Linked DNA regions of Rattus norvegicus. The protein of the gene in region 2 purifies or fractionates together with the protein of the main gene of each other region. This does not show direct contact. Links are inferred from orthologs where the notes say so. Each region holds a gene or a part of one and is shown on either strand. Other genes may lie near its edges.

What was found.
Region 1: the proteins of Vcam1 (region 2) and Msn purify together in Homo sapiens (affinity purification with western blotting; 3 studies listed by BioGRID, with this or other methods). This does not show direct contact. The link is inferred for Rattus norvegicus from reciprocal best matches to the Homo sapiens genes VCAM1 and MSN.

Annotation. Positions count from the first base shown.
Region 1 is NC_086039.1:65,000,651-65,010,337, forward strand, and holds the start of Msn (moesin), read left to right. Parts: upstream 1-4,895; 5' UTR 4,896-4,994; coding exon 4,995-5,006; intron 5,007-9,687. UniProt on the Homo sapiens protein: Ezrin-radixin-moesin (ERM) family protein that connects the actin cytoskeleton to the plasma membrane and thereby regulates the structure and function of specific domains of the cell cortex.
Region 2 is NC_086020.1:206,719,245-206,728,212, reverse strand, and holds the end of Vcam1 (vascular cell adhesion protein 1 precursor), read left to right. Parts: intron 1-875; coding exon 876-1,142; intron 1,143-4,274; coding exon 4,275-4,435; 3' UTR 4,436-5,163; downstream 5,164-8,968. UniProt on the Homo sapiens protein: Cell adhesion glycoprotein predominantly expressed on the surface of endothelial cells that plays an important role in immune surveillance and inflammation.

The DNA.
Region 1 (9,687 bases), on a different chromosome or scaffold from region 2:
TTTTGCCCAAGACACAATACATGCTGATTAAGGTGCAGGGCTAAAAATAAAAATAGGTGTTCACCTAAAATGGAAAAAAAGAAAAGAGGAAGAGTTGACTAGACAAAGCCAGTGTGGAGGGGAGACCTGATGAGCACTGAATTGATGGTGGGTGCTATAGTAGCTAAGGGGAAGCAGAGAACACAAGGAGGGTGTAGAGACTGGGGGAGAGCTTCATGGAAGAGAGACTCAGGTAGCCCAGGGACAAGATGGCACACACTGCCTGTGGCCAGACTAGCCTGGCTGAAGGGTAAGGCCTGTGCCAGGGAGCTGGAGGAAGGGAAGGCTGGGAAAGGAAGTGTGTGCACTATGGGGCAGGATACCCGCCAACTCTGAGGACAATGTGGCCTAAGTGGCCATTTCTGAAGATCGCCATGTTAACCACAGGGAGGACTGCCAGGGCTGGGCGGGGCAGGGCAGCCTAGAAGCAAGAAGACCAGAGAAGCACCTGTCTTCACAATCCAAAACAGTTGGTAAGGGTGGACCTCAGGTATTGTGGGGAGACATGGGAGGGAGGGAGCTGTCAAAGACAGACACACAGCAGAGCCCAACTTGCTGACCAATGGGGATGATCAAACAGGTGTATTAAACAAGATGACACTGTGTACATACAAGTCAGTGCTAACAGCAGAAGCACTAACAGAGCCGCTAGGGAGGATGAGGGTGAGCACAGTTCACAGAGCCTGGCCTCTGAGAGGTAGCCCGCACTGTGGGACACACGGCAGGAGGGGCACCCATCCTTCGAGAAGTGCCAAGTGCTTTGTGGAGGGAACACAAGCCATGCATACAGACATGTGGCTGGCCACCAGTCTGTGGGGACAGAGCTGGGATCTACTGACTAGACTGGGAGTCCCTGTTGGTAGGACTTATTTCAAATTCCAAGAGGACACTGGTTCAAATTGAACTGATCTCCTGGCTGGGGGAAGATCCTGACATGCTTACAACTTTATGTGAGGAAGAGCCAGGTAGAAGCCCTCCCCTCCCCTCACTGTGTTCCATTAGTGTGATTAATAATAAATATCCCCAGGCACTTGGTGCTGGCAAGACGCCTTGTCACTGCTGCTCATTACCCGTCCGCCACCCCCAGCTTCCAGGCTGCCCATTAGGTGCTGTGGAGAGAGGAGTCATGAAATGCACCTCCTCCCTGAGTGTGCCTGTCACAGCCTGGGACTGAGGCCATGCGTTTAGGCTGGCGGAAACCAAGTAGAACTTAACTCACAAGACCCAGGCCTAGCTTATTATCTTATTTTTGAGAAACCATGTGACTTTCCAAAAGGTACTTCACTTCCCAGACTCTCAATCTCCTCATTCCTAACACTGAAAAGTCTTTTGTGACATGATGTGAGTCCCTAGTACTCACTATATGGTAGGTAACATTTTCTCTGCTGTTAACTCAAACTCTGGTTTTTTGTTTCCAACAAAAGAGTTCCCTGTGAGTTTGATTTATATTTTCAGCCATATTGTGTCATAGGTTGAACTTGATCTGTTGGAGTGACAGCTGTATATTCTATTATAGTACCACCTAACTTCAGAATGTGCACACGTACACGCACCACATCCACCCATCTACTCCCCTTAAATACATGCACAAAGAAAATCTGGGTAACATGTCAAGGAGCTGAGCAAACTACTTAAAAGGGAGGCGCAGGAATCCAAGTGGAGTGGGAAGGATGCCATAGGGTGGAGGAAGGTTAAAGAGTGAAGGAAAAGAGGCAGGGAAATGGGTGAAACTGAGCCTAGGCAAGGAAAAATTGCAGAGTGCAAATTTTGGTGATCAGAACTACAGAACTGTGATAAGTCTTTTCTAGCCAGAATAGCCAGACTGATTCATGGAAAAGTCCACCACCAGATTTCTTGGTGACCCTGGATCTCACTAAATCTCTTGGTTGGCTGGCCAAAAAGCCTCTGGGACCTACTTGTCTCTGCACCATCCTTCTCCTCATATACCTCCTTGCCAGTCTTTCAGGTGGATGGTGGCATTTGAAGTCAAGCCCTCATGCTTATTGTGTAATAATTTTACCAATGGATTCCACTCTCCAGCTCTGAAATCTCTTTGCTCAATCTCCTGTCCCTTCATTGTGTTCTCTCCAGCTTTCTTGGACACTGGATCTAGAATGTTCCTGTACTGCGTCTGCTCCTAGCGGCCCTACCTTGCTTGACTGTTTAATAACACACTTGCCTAACCTTCCTTGAATGTTAGGAATTTAGCACATCTAAAATCCAAAATCTCTTCATGCTCCCTATGTCCCCCTGGGGAGCCTATGTGTGTGGATGTTCAAACTTTATTTCCATGTCTTTTTCTCCACACAGACTACCATAAATTAGATCATTTTTAAACTTAATTGTTGGGATTAGTCTGGTCCCAGTAAGATTGGTATAATTCTCTGAAGAAGAGGTTGGCAGGGGAAGAACAGAAGTATTGACCATGTAAATATGGAGTGGCATGCAGAGAGGTAGGAAGTAAGATGAATATCCCTGTCCTTACGGAAGAACAGCAGAGCACCACAGTTGCCTCTGGTTTGCACTGAAGATACGGAGACTATTTCAAGTCTAACATGCCAGTAATGTCCAGTTGCTTGACCACAGTAACCATTGCTACTTCAAGCAGCTTCTGTGTGGTGAAGGGGGAAGGTGGGGCATTACTTCATTGGTTCTCTCCCGACTCCACCCTGATTTTAACCATCATTGCTTTTGTGCAATCACTCATTCCCTAGGCCTAATCCTACCCATCTCCCTCAGATTCTTTTCAACTACTTCCTTACTATATTCTACCTGCCCCCACCCTATGGCATCCTTTCCTCTCCACTTGGATTCCAATGCTTCCCTTAGCATTTTAGTAGTTTGCTCAGCTCCTTGACATGCTACCCAGTTTTTCTTTGCGCATGTGTTTGCAGGGAGTAAAAGGGAGGGTGTGTCATGGCTGCGGATGTGCACATGCACATGGGGGTTAGGGAATTACATACTGGGGATTTCCACGTTCCAGAAAGTTAAAGTAGTCTGCAGTGGACTTATTTTAGTTATTTATTTTAGTGCCAAGATCTTTTAGGCCCTAGGTGAACATGAATGAAGAAATCAGTGAGGTTCTTTAACTTTGTAGGGGCTGAATAAGGTGGAGGGTCCATGGGCCATGGCAGTATCAAGGAATGTTGATTGGTTACCATTTCTACTCTTGCTACTGAGGTATTCTGAGAGGTCTTACTCCTCCTTGGGGCAAACACTTGACAGGCAAAGTTCTTTTTTACCTTACCACCTATCAGTGAACAGTGGTATCAGTGTCAGAAATGGAGGCATGTTGACTCATGAACACTGTAAAGTTGTGAGAAAATAAAATGGAACTGTTAGGTTCCTGAGTGTAAATGTAAGACTTTATGCAACTACCTACATGTTTCCTTTTTTCCTGAACTGGCTACTTATTTCTCCTCTTTTTATAATGTTTGAATGGGAAAGGACCTTGGAAACCCTGTAGTTTGGTCATTGTTATGGAAGGGGAAACTCAATATCAGAGAGGGGAAGGGACTTACCCAAGAAAGCGCAGAGGACACAGTGTGAGTTAATGATAAAACAATGATTTGAAGCCCGGTGGGTGTTCCGATTGCCCCTTTCAGATGTCCTTTCCACTATTCTGTGTTTGACTCTCCATCACTGAGGTATATGGTAATTTACCTCAGGAAAGACACACAATCCATGCCCCTGCATGGTTACCAGAACTGGAGGGTATCTCACCTGAAAGACTTGAATTTTTATTAAAAAGTGAATGTGAACCTGGCATTAGAGTGCATACCTATAGTCCCAGCACTAACGTGGCAGAAGCAGGAGGATTGGGGGTCCAAGTCAACTGGCTGCTGTTAGTACTCTGTGTCAAAAACAGTGGAAGTCTAGAAATGGTGTCAGACATCTGTGACCCAGTTGAGGTAGTAGGATTATTAGTCCAAGACTAACTTAGCCAATGTAGTAGGATCGTGAGTTCAAGACTAACCTAATCTATATAATGAGTTTAAAGCCAGCTCTGGTGACAAACAGACCAACCAAATCCAATATGTTGGGGAAGGGCTAAGGAAAAAACCAGAATACTGATGTGAGGAGAGTTGGGACTGGGAATTGGAGGATAGAAAGTGAACTTAGAAAACAGATATTTGGGAAAGGATCTCAATTCTGGAGAAAATGAGGCCCATACAGGGTCGAAGGAAGTGTGACAGGTTAAATGAATCCTATAGAAGGGAATGAATTGCTGAGGAAGAGCTGAAGAAGTTTAGTCCAGAAGTTTCCTGAGGAGTAGCAGAACTCCCAGGGGCTGCTATGGACAGCAGAGGATTTGTTGTGGTCCCAGGGAGCTTAAGGTGTTGAGTGATTGGAAGTCACAGAGAAAAAAGGAGGAACTTTCTAACTGACAAGGCTTCCTAGAGAGGGAACTGGGCAGCTCTACTAGGCAACCGGGTTCCCAATAGTGGTAACTCATAGTTCAGAAGCATCTGCTAGGGTGTGGCCCCCCAGTCAAGCTCTGGCTCAGACTGGGGGCGGAGTCAGATGGTCGAAACTTGGAGGGAGGGGGCAGTGAGGAAAGGTGGGGGGGCAGAGTGGGCATGGGTGGGGAGTGGGTGTCTTTGCGGAGTTTTGGCCCCGGGTCTGGCCCCCCACGTGGCCGGAGTAGCCTCTCTGGGCTGGGCAGGGTTGGGCGGGGCGATGCCCGAAGCCGCGGGCAGGCTGGCGGGAGGGCGGGGAGAGGCGCGGAAGCCCGGCCACATAAAGGAGCGAGCAGCGCAACGGGGGCGGCTCTTTCCTGGGTGGGGTTTGTAAAGTCGTGGCCCGTTAGCAGGAAGCGGAGCAGTCGCCCGACGCTAGAGTGGGACCCAATCTGAGCACCCGGTTCTCCCGAGTCCTTGCCGAAGTGTACTGCGCGCTCAGAGCAGCCCGACAGTTTCCAGCCAAACTTCAGCAACTCCTCCCTTGCCGCCACCATGCCGAAGACGGTGAGTGCGGCGGACTGGCGCGGTCGGCCCTGGGGGCTCCAGTTTGACCCTTGCCACTCTATGGCTTCGGGCTTGGTTGGTCTTAGGCCTGCTGGGGATGCTGGGCTGTCCCTTAGGGCCCTAGGAAGGAGGAGATAGTGGGGTCCTAATTTGAGCGCTTTAGGGGGTGACGGGGTGTAAAGACTAAAGTGTGGATAAGGAGTGGCCAGCCTTTCTTGGGTTCCAGTTCCCCGCCTCTGGGATGAAGCAGTGGAAACTCTTTTGAGGGGCTGGATAAACCCCCTTTTCTAACGGGTCGTTGGGCACTGGGAAAACGACTCTACTTTTGAGAACATTTCCCCCGCCCAGGAATTGGCGCCTTTCTGGAGCAAAGCTATCAGTGTCTCAGAAGAGCCCCATGGTTACAGAGAAGCAGGGAGGAGAGAGGAAGTTGCACAGGGCGGATCCCACACACCCATCCACCTTTCCCATAACCGCCCCTCTTCTACCCCACTTCTGCTCTGCCCCCTTCCACGGCTTCACAGCTCCAACTCCTTCCCCTGGGAGATGAGGAAGATGTAGGGGGACTCATCAGCTAGGCTGCTTTTCCCAGGGGTACAAACACTTCATTAGGCACAAGTCTGTGGAGGGGCCCACTCAACCTACTGGAAGACAGGGCAGGTTTCTCTTCCTCTATTCAAAATCCCTGTCAGACATAGTGCCTCTCTGTCCCCTTAGGACCGTTTTGTGAGGTATAGGTTTTCTCCTTTGGGGGCCACACCTATCTAGTGTGGTGGTTGATTTGTGATCTGGTCTCCACCCCACTGGCTGTTGCTACCCGAAGCCTCCTGGGAGTGAGGCCTAGGGGGGCCGGATGCCCAGTAGGGAGGGGTGGGGGAGGGGTATGTGCTTGACTAATGAGCTCTGCTTGCTTTTGTGCAAGTCACGCCAGGTCCTTGCTCATGAAGGCCCTATGACCACCGTGAATTGAATTACTTAGGTGAAGGGGCTTGCTGGGTTCCTGTGTTGTATGTTGCTAGCCTATCCATCTCTCTAGGACTGCCTGAGCTTGGTAGAACTGAGATAGTGTCTAGGATGCTTGAGAAGGGATTAAGGCGCCTGGGAAGAGAAGAGAGCGAATAGACATGGGGAGGTCTTTGTGTCTGTATTGAGGTTTCTTCGCCACCTTATACTATATTCCAGCTACACTACTGAGTCGTCCTTGCCTTCGCAGAACCCAGTTCTTAAGAAACACCAAGCTTTCTTTTTTAAATATATATTCTAATTTTTTGAGTCAGAGTCCCTTAGTCTTATATAAAATTATACTTTGTGAAAGTATATACGTATGTGAAATTATACTTTGTTCCCTACCTCCACTGCCCTCCTGTCATCTCCTTCACCCCAAGACCTCTGGCAGATTTCCTAACTCCCCTCAGTTAGTCTTCCCTTCTGTTTTCTTATCACATGTATTCTGTGGGGCTTTGCAGTGGGGAGGATCTCACCCTATAATCTAGGCTGGCATGGTACTCCCCATGTAATGTAGGTTGCTTTCAGATTTTTGCCAATCTTCCTGCCTCGGCGGTGCTGAGATTACGGGCTTGAGCCACCACATCTGGCTTGTTAAATTGTTTTGATAGAGGATTTGATTCTAGCCAAGGCTGGTTTGAACTCACTTTGTTTTGTAGCCTGAGATATACCTAAAAACTCTTGGAAGTAAATCCTTTTCAAATGAGAGATTCTAAGTTTGAGCCACCACTAAACTCGGCTTCTATTCCTTCAGCTTCTAAGCTGTGTACTTAACCATTTCTAAACTATGAAAGATAGAGAATGGTAGTGTCAAAAATTAAATGCCTTTTTTTGTGTTCGACATGATCAGTTTCACCGTTTAAGCCAATTTCTCTTAGCCAGGACAGCCTACTTTGAATATGTTGAAATACACCTTTTTGGGACTATTTCTGGTTACTAGTTCCCAAAGTCTGGTCTTGTGTTTTTCAAGGCAAGGTCCTATACTGTTGTAGCAGAGGTAGGCCTCCAGTTCCTAGCCATCTCAACCCAGCCCGCTGAGTGCTAGGATCAGAGAAGCTCTTACAGGTTCTGGTCTCAGTGCCTCACGTGGCAACTTACAACTGCCTGTAACGCCAGTTCCAGGGGATCTAACTCCCTCTTTTGGTGTCCTTAAGCATCAGGCACAAATGTGGTACACATACATGCTGCCAAAACACTCATGAACATAAAATAAAAATAAACTTTTTTTTTTGGAGAAAGTCTTTCCCTTTCAATTCCATCTTTAACTTTTTGTTTTTATTTCCAAGAATTAGGAGACTCACTTAGATTTCCTAAAAAGGAGATTGTTAATTTTCAAGATTTTGAGTTTTTAATTTCAAACTTTAGGATGTATTAAGTGTTACAATTTATTTATTTGCTGAACTGGTTTTATGAAACAGGGTCTCATATATCCTAGGCTAGACTTGAACTTCCACCACCAAAATACTGGGATTTGTTGTCATAAGACCAAGTCCAAGTCTTCCCATTGTCTAGATGGGGGGATTGAAACTGGTGAACGGGGAGAATGGACCATGACTGTTGCAGCATACCAACAGGAAGACTACAACTTGGGTCTAGGTCTTTTTTGAGGTGGGGAGGTCAGTCTTGGAAAAACCTGTTTAGTTTACTGGGATTTAGCAAATCATGGGAAAAAGTGATCAGTGCTCACTGGATGGTACCATCCATGATTGACACAGAGCCCAGCTCCTTGAAGTATTTGAAAACTTCTGGGTCCGCATTCAGCTAAACTTTAACAGGGGCTGTATGAACTGTTGGTTTTCCTGCCATTCCTAGCATTGCTTGAGCCACTGAAGTGGCACTAAAGTGGTACTTGGCGAATAGGGGGCAGAATTTCAGGCTTCTAACCCTTGAACCAGCCCTGCCTGTAGACTTGAGGGTGGGGCAAAGGATCAGGAATGAAGGTCGTGTGGGAGGCTTCTGTCTCTGTCTGCTGCACCTCCCCACCATCTCTCTCTTTTTTGGAAACAGTTGCTGTGTAGCCCTCAGGGGCCTATAAAATAGGTTGGTCTTTTCTTTTTTTTTTTTTTTTTGGTTGTTGGTGTTTTAACTCAGAGCAATCCTCTTGACTCTGCTTCAGAATTTCTGGAATTATAGGTGTGAACTACCACCTGAGGGTGTTTTGTTTTTGTTTTGAGACAGAGTCATGCTCTGTACAGCCCAAATTGGCCTTGATTCCAGACAATCCTATTTCTATCTCTCTAATGATGAAATTATATAGTCTGCACGCACACACACACACACACACACACAGAGGAGTGGACATCAAAGGATCAAAGGGCAAAGTTTCGGGAGTCTGTTCTCCTCACTATGGGATCTGGCAATAAAGTGGTCAGCTTTGGCTGCTAAGTGGGTTACCCTTTGAGCCATCTTGGACATCACTCGATTTGTTTGTAACGGAGTATCATGATGCCCACTTTGGATTCCAACAAGATATATAGGCAAGGATGACCTTGAACTCTGTATCTTCCCACCCCAGCCTCCCTTATACTAGGATAACAGATGATGTTACAGTGTCTACGCTTTTCTCCACTCTTGATTTTCCAATTTGCTGAACCCTTTGTGGAAGTCTAGATAGTAGAGAACAGAACAGGCACCATCTTGGGGATTTCATTTATACCTACTCATGAAAAATCTCTTGCACAGAGAGGGAAAAGTCAAGGCACAAAATAGCCTCTACTTTTTTCTTGGGGGGAAGGTTGCTCTCTCAGTCAGTGATGCATTATTCTCTAAGTGCCGTAATGGCGGCCTGTAAGGGAAGTGTTATCAGGCATGGTAGCTCATGCCTGTAATTGTAGCACTTGGGAGGATAGAAAGAAGATTGTAGTGAGTTTGAGGCCAGCTTGAGTTATAGAGTGAGGCTGTCTAACCCTCCCCCCCCCAAAAAAAAAACCCTAACAGTGAACCAAAAAAAAAAAAGCGGTGCCTTTTCTTCTGTCTGATACTGTAATCCTACTGCTTTACTAGATTGTGGAGATGGAAGGGACATTTAGAGGTCATTTAGTCTTTCCCCATGCTTCCAAATCTAATTCTCTATGGATGAGAAGTGATGACAGCTACAATTATTCTGAACTCTGTTCTAATAGTGTTGCTTAGCAACAGTCTTTCTTAGGTTCCATTGTATATTCAGGGAGTCCACCTCCTGCCCCCACTGGAATTTCTAGGCTCAGGGTCCCTGGAGGGGGAGCACTGGCTACGAGCAGTACTATCAGGGTTGGGCTTTTCATGGCCACACTGGGTCTGATCTTTGAAGATAGATCCTGACTCTGATCTTTGAAAGATAGAACTGAGTTTATCATGTGCTTCTTTCTTAACTTCAATCTTTTCTGCTACCCCACCTCATTCCTCTGTCCCTTAAAGAAGGAAAAAAACAACCAAACAAATGAACAGTACAAAGGTGGTCTTCCTTGGGGCTGTCCGTTGGTCAGGTCATGATGAGGATGGTTTTTTATAATTGACTGGCTTTGCTGTTCATCCCTTTTACTTCATGCTTGATAGAGCTGAAAAACTTTGCAGTTCCAGGTTCTAATTTGTGATAGAGGATCTCTTGGTTTGGAGGGTTAGCTCAGCATTACATGAACAAGGATCGTGGGTGTTGGGAAATAGAAAGTAAAACTCAACTTAGAATATTCGTTCTCAT
Region 2 (8,968 bases):
ATGGACAAAATTATGCAAGCCACCAACTTGCATTGCCCCCCCCCGTGCTTTTTCTTTGGGGGGACCAGGGTGGCAGTCTCCTGCATCAGCTTCCATTATTCCTGTTAAGGCAAATACTAGGGTTTGTTGTTCCTGCTGCCTCGGTTCTCTGAGGTCTGTAATTCAAAAGAAGAACCAGGGAAGGGTACCACATAATCTCAAGGAAAGCCTTTAGGAGACTCTCAGGTCTGTCCGGGTGACACAGTGTGACCATCTGAGAGAAAAGGAAACCTAAGTGTGGATGTCACGGCCCTGTGGCCTTGGGGCAGGAGCATCAGTGTGACAAGGTCTTAAGCAAGTGTTTATAAAACAGACTAAGGGTGTTTCCCTCTAAGGTTTTTGCCCTTACAGAAATGTTCTATCTCTCAGGAGAGATCAGCCGGAAATTTGAAAATTAATTACTATGTTCTTAAAGACAGTAAAAGGAAAAATAATCTCTATATATCCTAATTTCTGGTCAGGGAGCACCTAGCTCATAAGGCTTTTATGCTTCTAGGAAAGTTCAGTGAACAATGTGGTTTTTTAAAAAAATAATAAAAAATAAAGGTTTTTTTCGATGTTTAAATTCTACAGCTACTTATTAAATACCTAATTTTTGTCTTTGCCTGGGTAAAGAATCATACTAAGGGTAGAAAGGAACCCTGAGATATGCCTTCTCTTGCTTACAATATTATCGTTGAGAATTGGTCCAATGCCCGGCTTCTGTGCTTGCCTTCCTTCCTTCCAGCTCATGCAGAAAGCCTCGCAAACAGCTTGGCAATGGCTGCCAACGTTTTCAGGCAGTATGGGATTGCTGTACCCCTCCCGCACGCACCAACTGTCCATTCTCTCTTCAGGCTCTTCGAAGGACATACAGCTTACAGTCTTCCCATCTAAGAGCGTCAAAGAGGGAGACACTGTCATTATCTCCTGTACTTGTGGAAGTGTGCCCGAAATATGGATAATTCTGAAAAAGAAAGCCAAGACAGGAGACATGGTGCTAAAGTCTGTTAATGGCTCGTACACCATCCGCAAGGCACAGCTGCAGGATGCCGGAGTATACGAGTGTGAATCGAAAACCGAAGTCGGCTCGCAGTTGCGAAGTTTAACACTTGATGTGAAAGGTTAGCTTTCGGTGTTTGCTTTCTTTTTTTTCTTCTTAATTTATTTTTAAAATGATTCCAAGTTTCCAAGGAGAGTAACAAGTTTCTACTGTTAGCTGGAGTTGGTAAAATGAGACTGAATTCTGTCCGCGCTGACCGCTTGTTTCTTAAACGCGTCTCGAAATAATCAGACGCAGCTGTTCTATCCTATCACGTTTAGCCAGGAAGTGGACATTAATCATCATTGATGTGGAATTCCCATTTGTTTTTTTTTTTTCCCTGAAGTTGCCAATTCATCATTGGTCTCTGTGGTCTTAGATTTGCTAAGAGTTTAACGACATATTTTACAACGTTTCCCCTAGGGTGAAAGGAAACTAAGGAATTGGGGCGGGCATAGCAGATGAACTGTCCTCTGCAGACCTTGCTCCCCAGTGAGGAGAAGTTCTGCTTTCAGAGTACAGAAAAACTGCGTGTATTTTCGGCATGGCTCTTTTGTGAGGATGCTAATTGGAGAGAGTGGCCTGGATCCGAGGCAGGATCTCTAGATTCCACAAGAGCTCCCTTTGAAATCCATGCCCCAGTTGTCCGACTTTAACCTGATGCAGAGGAAGGGGGCACAGTGCCCCTCACCCACGGACACATAATGGCACTCCTTACTTTCCTGTTCTCTCTTGTGAGTGCCTGCTAATTTTATTGATGCTAGCCTTGACTAATGAGCCTTGGACCCTTTGCACACCAAAGAGCTGTTGTACGCTGAAATCCAGTCGGGTAGAGGGAGCAACACTGCTAATGAATGCCAACTCTGAAGAAGGCTGGCCTTGACTATGAGAGTTAACGAGTCACACGTCAGTGCAGAGAAAATCTGAACATGCGTGAGAAAACACATACACACTGTACTAGCCACATTCTTCAAGATGACAGACCTTAGCATACACTGCTTTTCTGTCCTCATAGCACCTCCTCAAATCAGAGCAAATACATCTACTTAGAAATGTTAAAGGAAAGGGAAATATCATAATTACATGTCAGACTTCTAGTCTCCTGCTCATGGTGATTGTTCTGAAAACAATCTGGCCAAGGAGGCTACCATGAATTCAAAGAGCGGAACAGTAGCTCCCATCACGTCACTGGGTATGACACAGTGTGTGCAGCCGTTGCCTCCGGTGAGATGGACCGAGATCTCAATTATGCATAGGCTGAGATATGTCTTCCTCTGGCCAGCTCTAATTTAGCCTAGCCCCAGGAAATTGCACTTCTAAGATTTTTGTCATCCTGCGTGTGCCTGGCTGTTTCTCCTCAAGAACATAAAAACTGTCCCTTCCCACATTGTCTTTTCTAATTGCTTAATTAATTTCTTATGTATTTGTCACCTTTAATTTATCTTTTAAATGAACAATGAAAACATATTAGTCACCCAGCCAGACATCTATGCTCCCAATATGAAGATGATTTCAAATAACTGCATATGAAAAGACCCAAAGTTGACCTCCCTTCCTCCCTGCTCGATAGTTTAAACTGGTTTTTCTTTGTATTCCTAGCTGAATGTTTATGTTTGTTGTCTTGTTTGGTTTTGGCTTAAATGCATCCCATTGATGCAAATGATCAGGAATCGTTAGAACTTTCAAAGTTTATATAATTAACAGGAAAAAATGTGTTGGGACATTGTCCTAGCAACTGGATCCATTTTGAGTTTCTGACAGATGTCTGAGGGACAAACTGAAAGGCAAAGATAATAATTAAATTGAAAAGAAAACAATAGCAGAAATACTTCTTCCTAGTTTGACATCAATATTGACGAGTAACCACAATTATGATAAGTATCCCATTAAACCATTACCCTTCGATCAATTCTATCAAAGGAAAGCAGAGAAATGAGGTCATTATCATGATGCCCAAGGTGAAGCATCGTTTTTTATCCTTCAGTAATTTGAAACAATTCACTCATGAGATGCTAACGAGTCTTTTCTACTTGAATGACTTTCTGTGTTTTGAAAGTTCTGGAAGGAGTTGTCAATGTGCTTCAGATCAGATCTCTAATCCCTGCCCAGACTCAGACAGCATACCCTTCCACTTAGTGAAACATAACTGTGAGGCCACACTGTGGGGTGCAAAAAAAACAGAGGCAAGTCTTGGGAGCATGCCAGGCTCTCTGGAGATGTTTTTATGCAGCTTGGATGTTGCTCGAGGTGTTGCTATACTCGTGTGTTCTCTGAAAAGATTTTAAACTGTTTATATATTGTCATTTTCAGTACTCGATTTATGACCATGTAGCAAAATTATAAGATTTAGAAAGGCAAACACTTTTTTGGTGCTCAAATAATATTTTGGGACTATCCGGAGTGCCAAGACGTGTCTGAAGTGCTGGGTAGTTGTGAGGCACCTTCTATAAACACAGCTGTCTTTACAGAGTTTGCAGTTAGGGGAGGAAACCAGATAATTGCTCGGTCAAATATTGAATTACAAGCTATGAGGGGGATAAGAAGTTGTGCTGGTTGGATTTTGAAGGAATGGTGGAGTGAGTATCAATTTACATACTCCAGTTTAGGTGTAGGTCAGAGAATGTACTCTGCCAGTAACTACGACATTTACTTAAGTGAAATACCCAAAGACCATCAGTAAATGAAGAGAAGTTGTCGATGCTGGAGGGGAGTAATCATATAAAGATACTTTTGCTTCAGCCACTCAGAACACACCACACAAGCACATCCAGGCAACCACTGACAAGAATGCTCTGTCGTTAACCTTAATGCCCACACTGAGTGTTACATAGACTGTCTTATAGAACTCGTTAGGCATTGCTGTTCATGACTATCAGTGTCGCAGGGTTATTTCTGATTTCTACTCTTATAAAACAGGTCACTAAAATGTGCACTACCCCTTCCTTTCAGCACCCAGAACAATCTTTTAAAATCCAAGTTTGTAGAGTCAAAAAGTGTCATCCCTGTACCCATCCTGAGCATAGCAACCAAAAGCTGCTTATTTGGATATTTCAGGAAAAAAAGAAATGTGTTATATGAGTCTCGATGGTCCTCAGCACAGCTTTTACTGCCTCTTTTGAAGAACTAGTTGTACTGTTACAATCAAACACACACTGCGGTTGAATTATTTCCCTTTGTGCTAGACATTAATTGAATCCATTTGCTGATTTTCCAGGAAAAGAAAATAACAAGGACTATTTTTCCCCTGAACTCCTTGCACTCTACTTTGCATCCTCCTTGGTAATACCCGCCATTGGGATGATCATTTACTTTGCAAGAAAAGCCAACATGAAAGGATCGTACAGTCTGGTGGAGGCACAGAAGTCAAAAGTGTAGCTAACGTCTGAACTGTTGGAGAAAAGACATTATTTATAAACCCCGGACCCTTCATACTCTTTATTGCAGCACTGTTCCCCCTCCACAAACCAAGCTATGCATTCAGACTTCTCAGAACCCTTCTCGGCAAAGAAGGAAAAGAAGTGGCCACTTGATCCCTTGCTGAGTGCAAGAAGCCAACTAGAAATCTTCTGCTCGGCAAGTCCCCATTGCTGAAGAGACCGGAACAGTACCATGACATGTATATAAATAGCCTCAGTGTACATATGTAAAATAAAATGATGTCATTGCGAGGTCGTTTAGAGTAGTAGCACTCCAGATGTAGGTCAGAACAAAATCAAAACGTGTTGCTTGGACTGACTGTTGTAACTTCATGCTTCTTAGGAAAGTTTAATGTTGGTGTTAATGTTGAGTAGGCAGCTGACCAGTGTCACCTTTTTGTACTTTATTTTCTTCAGCCTAATTTTATTCCTATGCATTTTATTGACAATGATTTCATTTTTTTTTAAAGAAGCCAGGGTTTTATATTTTTATAGGCAAATGGTAAAAAGGTCACTGGGTTGACTTTCAGGTACTACTTTCCTAATTCATGGTATACTGATTAAGTAGTTTTCTCAACTGTACGGTACGGGGACGTGTTTCTTCATCAGGATCTTGTATAATGACTAACATGGTTTAAATGCAACTTCATTTGACTTATAAATACTACAGTAAAGTGAAAGTTTCTGAACATGGAAGAGCTGCATTTCGTTTGTTGTAAATTGTCTCCTTTAACTGTTGTCTTGTTCTTCTGGAATTGTCAGTTATCAGAGTAAAAAACTTCAAACTATTAACATAATACAGATACTCAAAACATGGTCTTCAGACCACGATTTATCAAAATTGCCATGAGAATATGACAAACAGATTTATTCATATCATCTCACCATAATACATTAAGAACTGTAGTTTGTCATAGACAAGAGCCTAGCATAATCATCATCAGAGAGGCTTCATCCAGCAACTGATGGGGACAGATGCAGAGACCCACAGTCAAACATTAGGCAAAGCTTGGAAACCCTGCAGAAGAGGGAGAGGAGGATTGCAGGAGCCAGAGGGGTCACGGGAACCACAAGAAACCCCACAGAATCAACTAACCCAGGCACACGAGGAGCCACAGAGACTAAACCAACAATCATGGAGCCTGAAGTGCATCTGACCTAGGTCCTTTCCATATAAGTTGTGGTTGTGTAGTGTGGTCTTCTTATAAGACTCCTGACAGTGCCTGCTTTGGGACCCTTTTCTTCCTACTGGGTTGCCTCATCCAGTCTTAATATGAAGGGCAATGTCTAGTCATACTGCAACATGATATGCCATGTATGGTTGACAACCCCGTGTGACCTGTCCTTTTCTGGAGAGAAACAGGAGGAGAATTGGATTCATGGAGATAGGAGGTGGAGAGGAAGGACTGGGAGCAGAGGAGGGAAAGGAATTTCTGGTCAGGATGTAATACAGGAGAAAAGAATGAATAAAAAAATTTAAAGATGATTTGTAGTTTAGGATTCTTGGAATCTAACAATTCGGTTAAAAAATACAGCAAATACAGAGGCGAATGCCAGCAGCAAACCACTGAACTGAGAATAGGACCCCCGTTGAAGGAATCAGAGAAAGAACTGGAAGAGCTTGAAGGGGCTCGAGACCCCATATGTACAACAATGTCAAGCAACCAGAGCTTCCAGGGACTAAGCCACTACCTAAAGACTATACATGGACTGACCCTGGACTCTGGCCTCATAGGTAGCAATGAATATCCTAGTAAGAGCACCAGTGGAAGGGGAAGCCCTGGGTCCTGCTAAGACTGAACCCCCAGTGAACTAGACTGTTGGGGGGAGGGCGGCAATGGGGGGAGGGTTGGGAGGGGAACACCCATAAGGAAGGGGAGGGGGAGGGGGATGTTTGCCCGGATACTGGGAAAGGGAATAACACTCGAAATGTATATAAGAAATACTCAAGTTAATAAATAAAAAAAATAAAAAATAAAAAACGGTTATGCAATATGTACAATAGATTGGCAAAGAATAAACTCTTAGGTACATACTACAAAGTCTAAAAGACAAAACTGTTATTTTTCAGGTCATCTTGTATGTGTAACACAGTAGCAACTCTCTTCCCACTGAGTCAGTAGGTCCTGAATTATGGCTTGGTCATTTTCCCTCTCTGGAGGATCTGTACCTGTATAAATAAGTAACTCTTAGTAGTACATGAGCTTGCTAGGCTTTGAATTGTATACAAGCAAAATCCAATGACATGTGTGCCCTGTGACTTTATTCTTTTTTCAAACTTTAATTCTTGCACAATTTAGCCATTGTTAGTTGTTACAGACAATATAGGTCACTCGTTTTCTCTGCTCTCCAGGGTTCTACTCTAAGACTTTATGTTTCTTGTTTGTCCATCCTTTTATTAATAGATATTTGTGTGTTTTCATCTTTTCTGATATGAAAAGAAGCTCCTGTAAGCGTTACTGCAATGTGAGAATTTATGAATGTTGCCATGGTTTCCCTAGAGCCTGTACCAATCAGCCAGTATTCTTGATGGTAGTTTGTGTGCACTGTCAGGTTCATCAGGGAAGCCAATCCTTTCAAAAGTAGTTACATAATGTCTTCCTTCTCTACAGTGAAGAATTCCCACCAGTGCTCACCCTGCTCAATGTGGCGTCATCTGACTTAAATAATTTATTTATTCTCAATTATTGTTTCTCAAAATGCTTTAACATTAAATTGACCTGATCATTAGTGAATTTGAACATTATTTTCATATATTTAAGAATGATTTTATCTTTACTGACACTTGAACTCTCTTCCCTAAAAATATCTATATATCAGACAAGAGTCTAGCATGGCTGTCCTCTGAGAGGTTCCTTCCAGCAACTGACTCAGACAGATACAGACACCCACAGCCAGTGAATAGAGCTTGAACTCATGGAAGAATAGGGGGAAGAATTGCAAGCCCCCAAAGGGGATAAAACTCTGTAGGAAGATCAACAGAGTAAACTAACCTCAACCTTTGGGGCTCTCAGAGACTGAACCATCAGCCAAAGAACATTCAAAGGCTGGACCTAGGCCTCCCCACACATGTGTAGCAGATTTGCAGCCTGGTCGTCACGTGGGTCCTGAACAACTGGAGCAGGGGCCATCCCTAAAGCTGTTGTCTGTCTATGGGATATGTTCTTCTAGCTGGGCTGCCTTGTCTGGCCTCGGTGGGAGAGGATGTGCCTAGTCTCACAGAGATTTAATGTATCAAGGTGAGGGGATACCCAGGGGAGCTCCCACCCACTCAGAGGAGAAGGGGAGGAGGGGATAGGGAAGGATTGTGGGAGAGGGTTACCGAGAGGTGGTCAGAGTATATTGACCTTTTATTCTGGAGTATAGTGATCTGTTTTTATTAACACATAAATACACACAAATACTCTTTTCCTTGATCCCAGTCCTTTGATTTCCTTTTATAATCGCTCAGCTGCTCTACATAGTCCACTACCCCATTTATGACCTATGGATTCACCTCTGGGGTCTCTTCAGATGACAGTAATTTAAATTCCACCATACTCAAATGTGTTGAGTTTTCTATTTTGGCTTCCAAGTTCTGTCATAATTAAAACATATTTTTCTGCTCAGAGGTAGAATGTTTACTACCCTGCCTCAAAAAGTTTTGTAGTTTCCTATGCATAAAATCCATGCGAGTTCAAGCCAGACCAAATGCCATCATTGAGAGGGGCATAGGATACCACCCCAGCAGAACAGCTACTGGTAACTGATAGTTGCTGGGAGGGGGAGAAATAGTCTCCAGGGAAGAGCACATATTATCTAATAGCAAATGGTCAGCACTGAAAACATACATACAGGTACCATCATATAGACTGAACAGGTTATATTTACAAATACATATGTATATACATATACATGTGTGCATGTAACAACGAAAAGGGGGCAATGGATTTGAAAGAGAGCAAGAAGGGTTGCGTGGGAGGGTTTGGCGGAAGCAGAAAGAAGTGGTTGTAATTATATGACAATCTCAAAAATAAAACTCAAACACACACACACACACACACACACACACACAAATAGAATATTATTATTCTTTTAATGACTGGAGGATCTTTATGTACTCCCCTGCATTAACGTTGGTGACTTGTGTTTTCTCTTTCCTTGGTTAGACGAGTAGAGGTTGATCTATGCCACTGAGCTTTGCAAAGCACTGCCTTCTCGTTTCCTTGATTTTAACCTACTGCTTTTGCTTCCTGTGCCACTGACCTTTGTGCCTTCTTATGACTTCATTTCCCTGTTTTCTTTAGATGGGGCTTGCTATTCTTTTTCTAGACTATTTGGGAGAGACCTTATTCAACTATTTAGAGCCTTCCATAGCTTTAGTATAAGCAGTTGAGGGATAATTATTCCATGTAATTAGCTTCGTGTCACAAACTGTTATGTGGTATATTTCATTCTCATTCAGTTAAAATATGTACTAAATCCCTGTGTGATTTCTTCTTTTTTTAAAAAA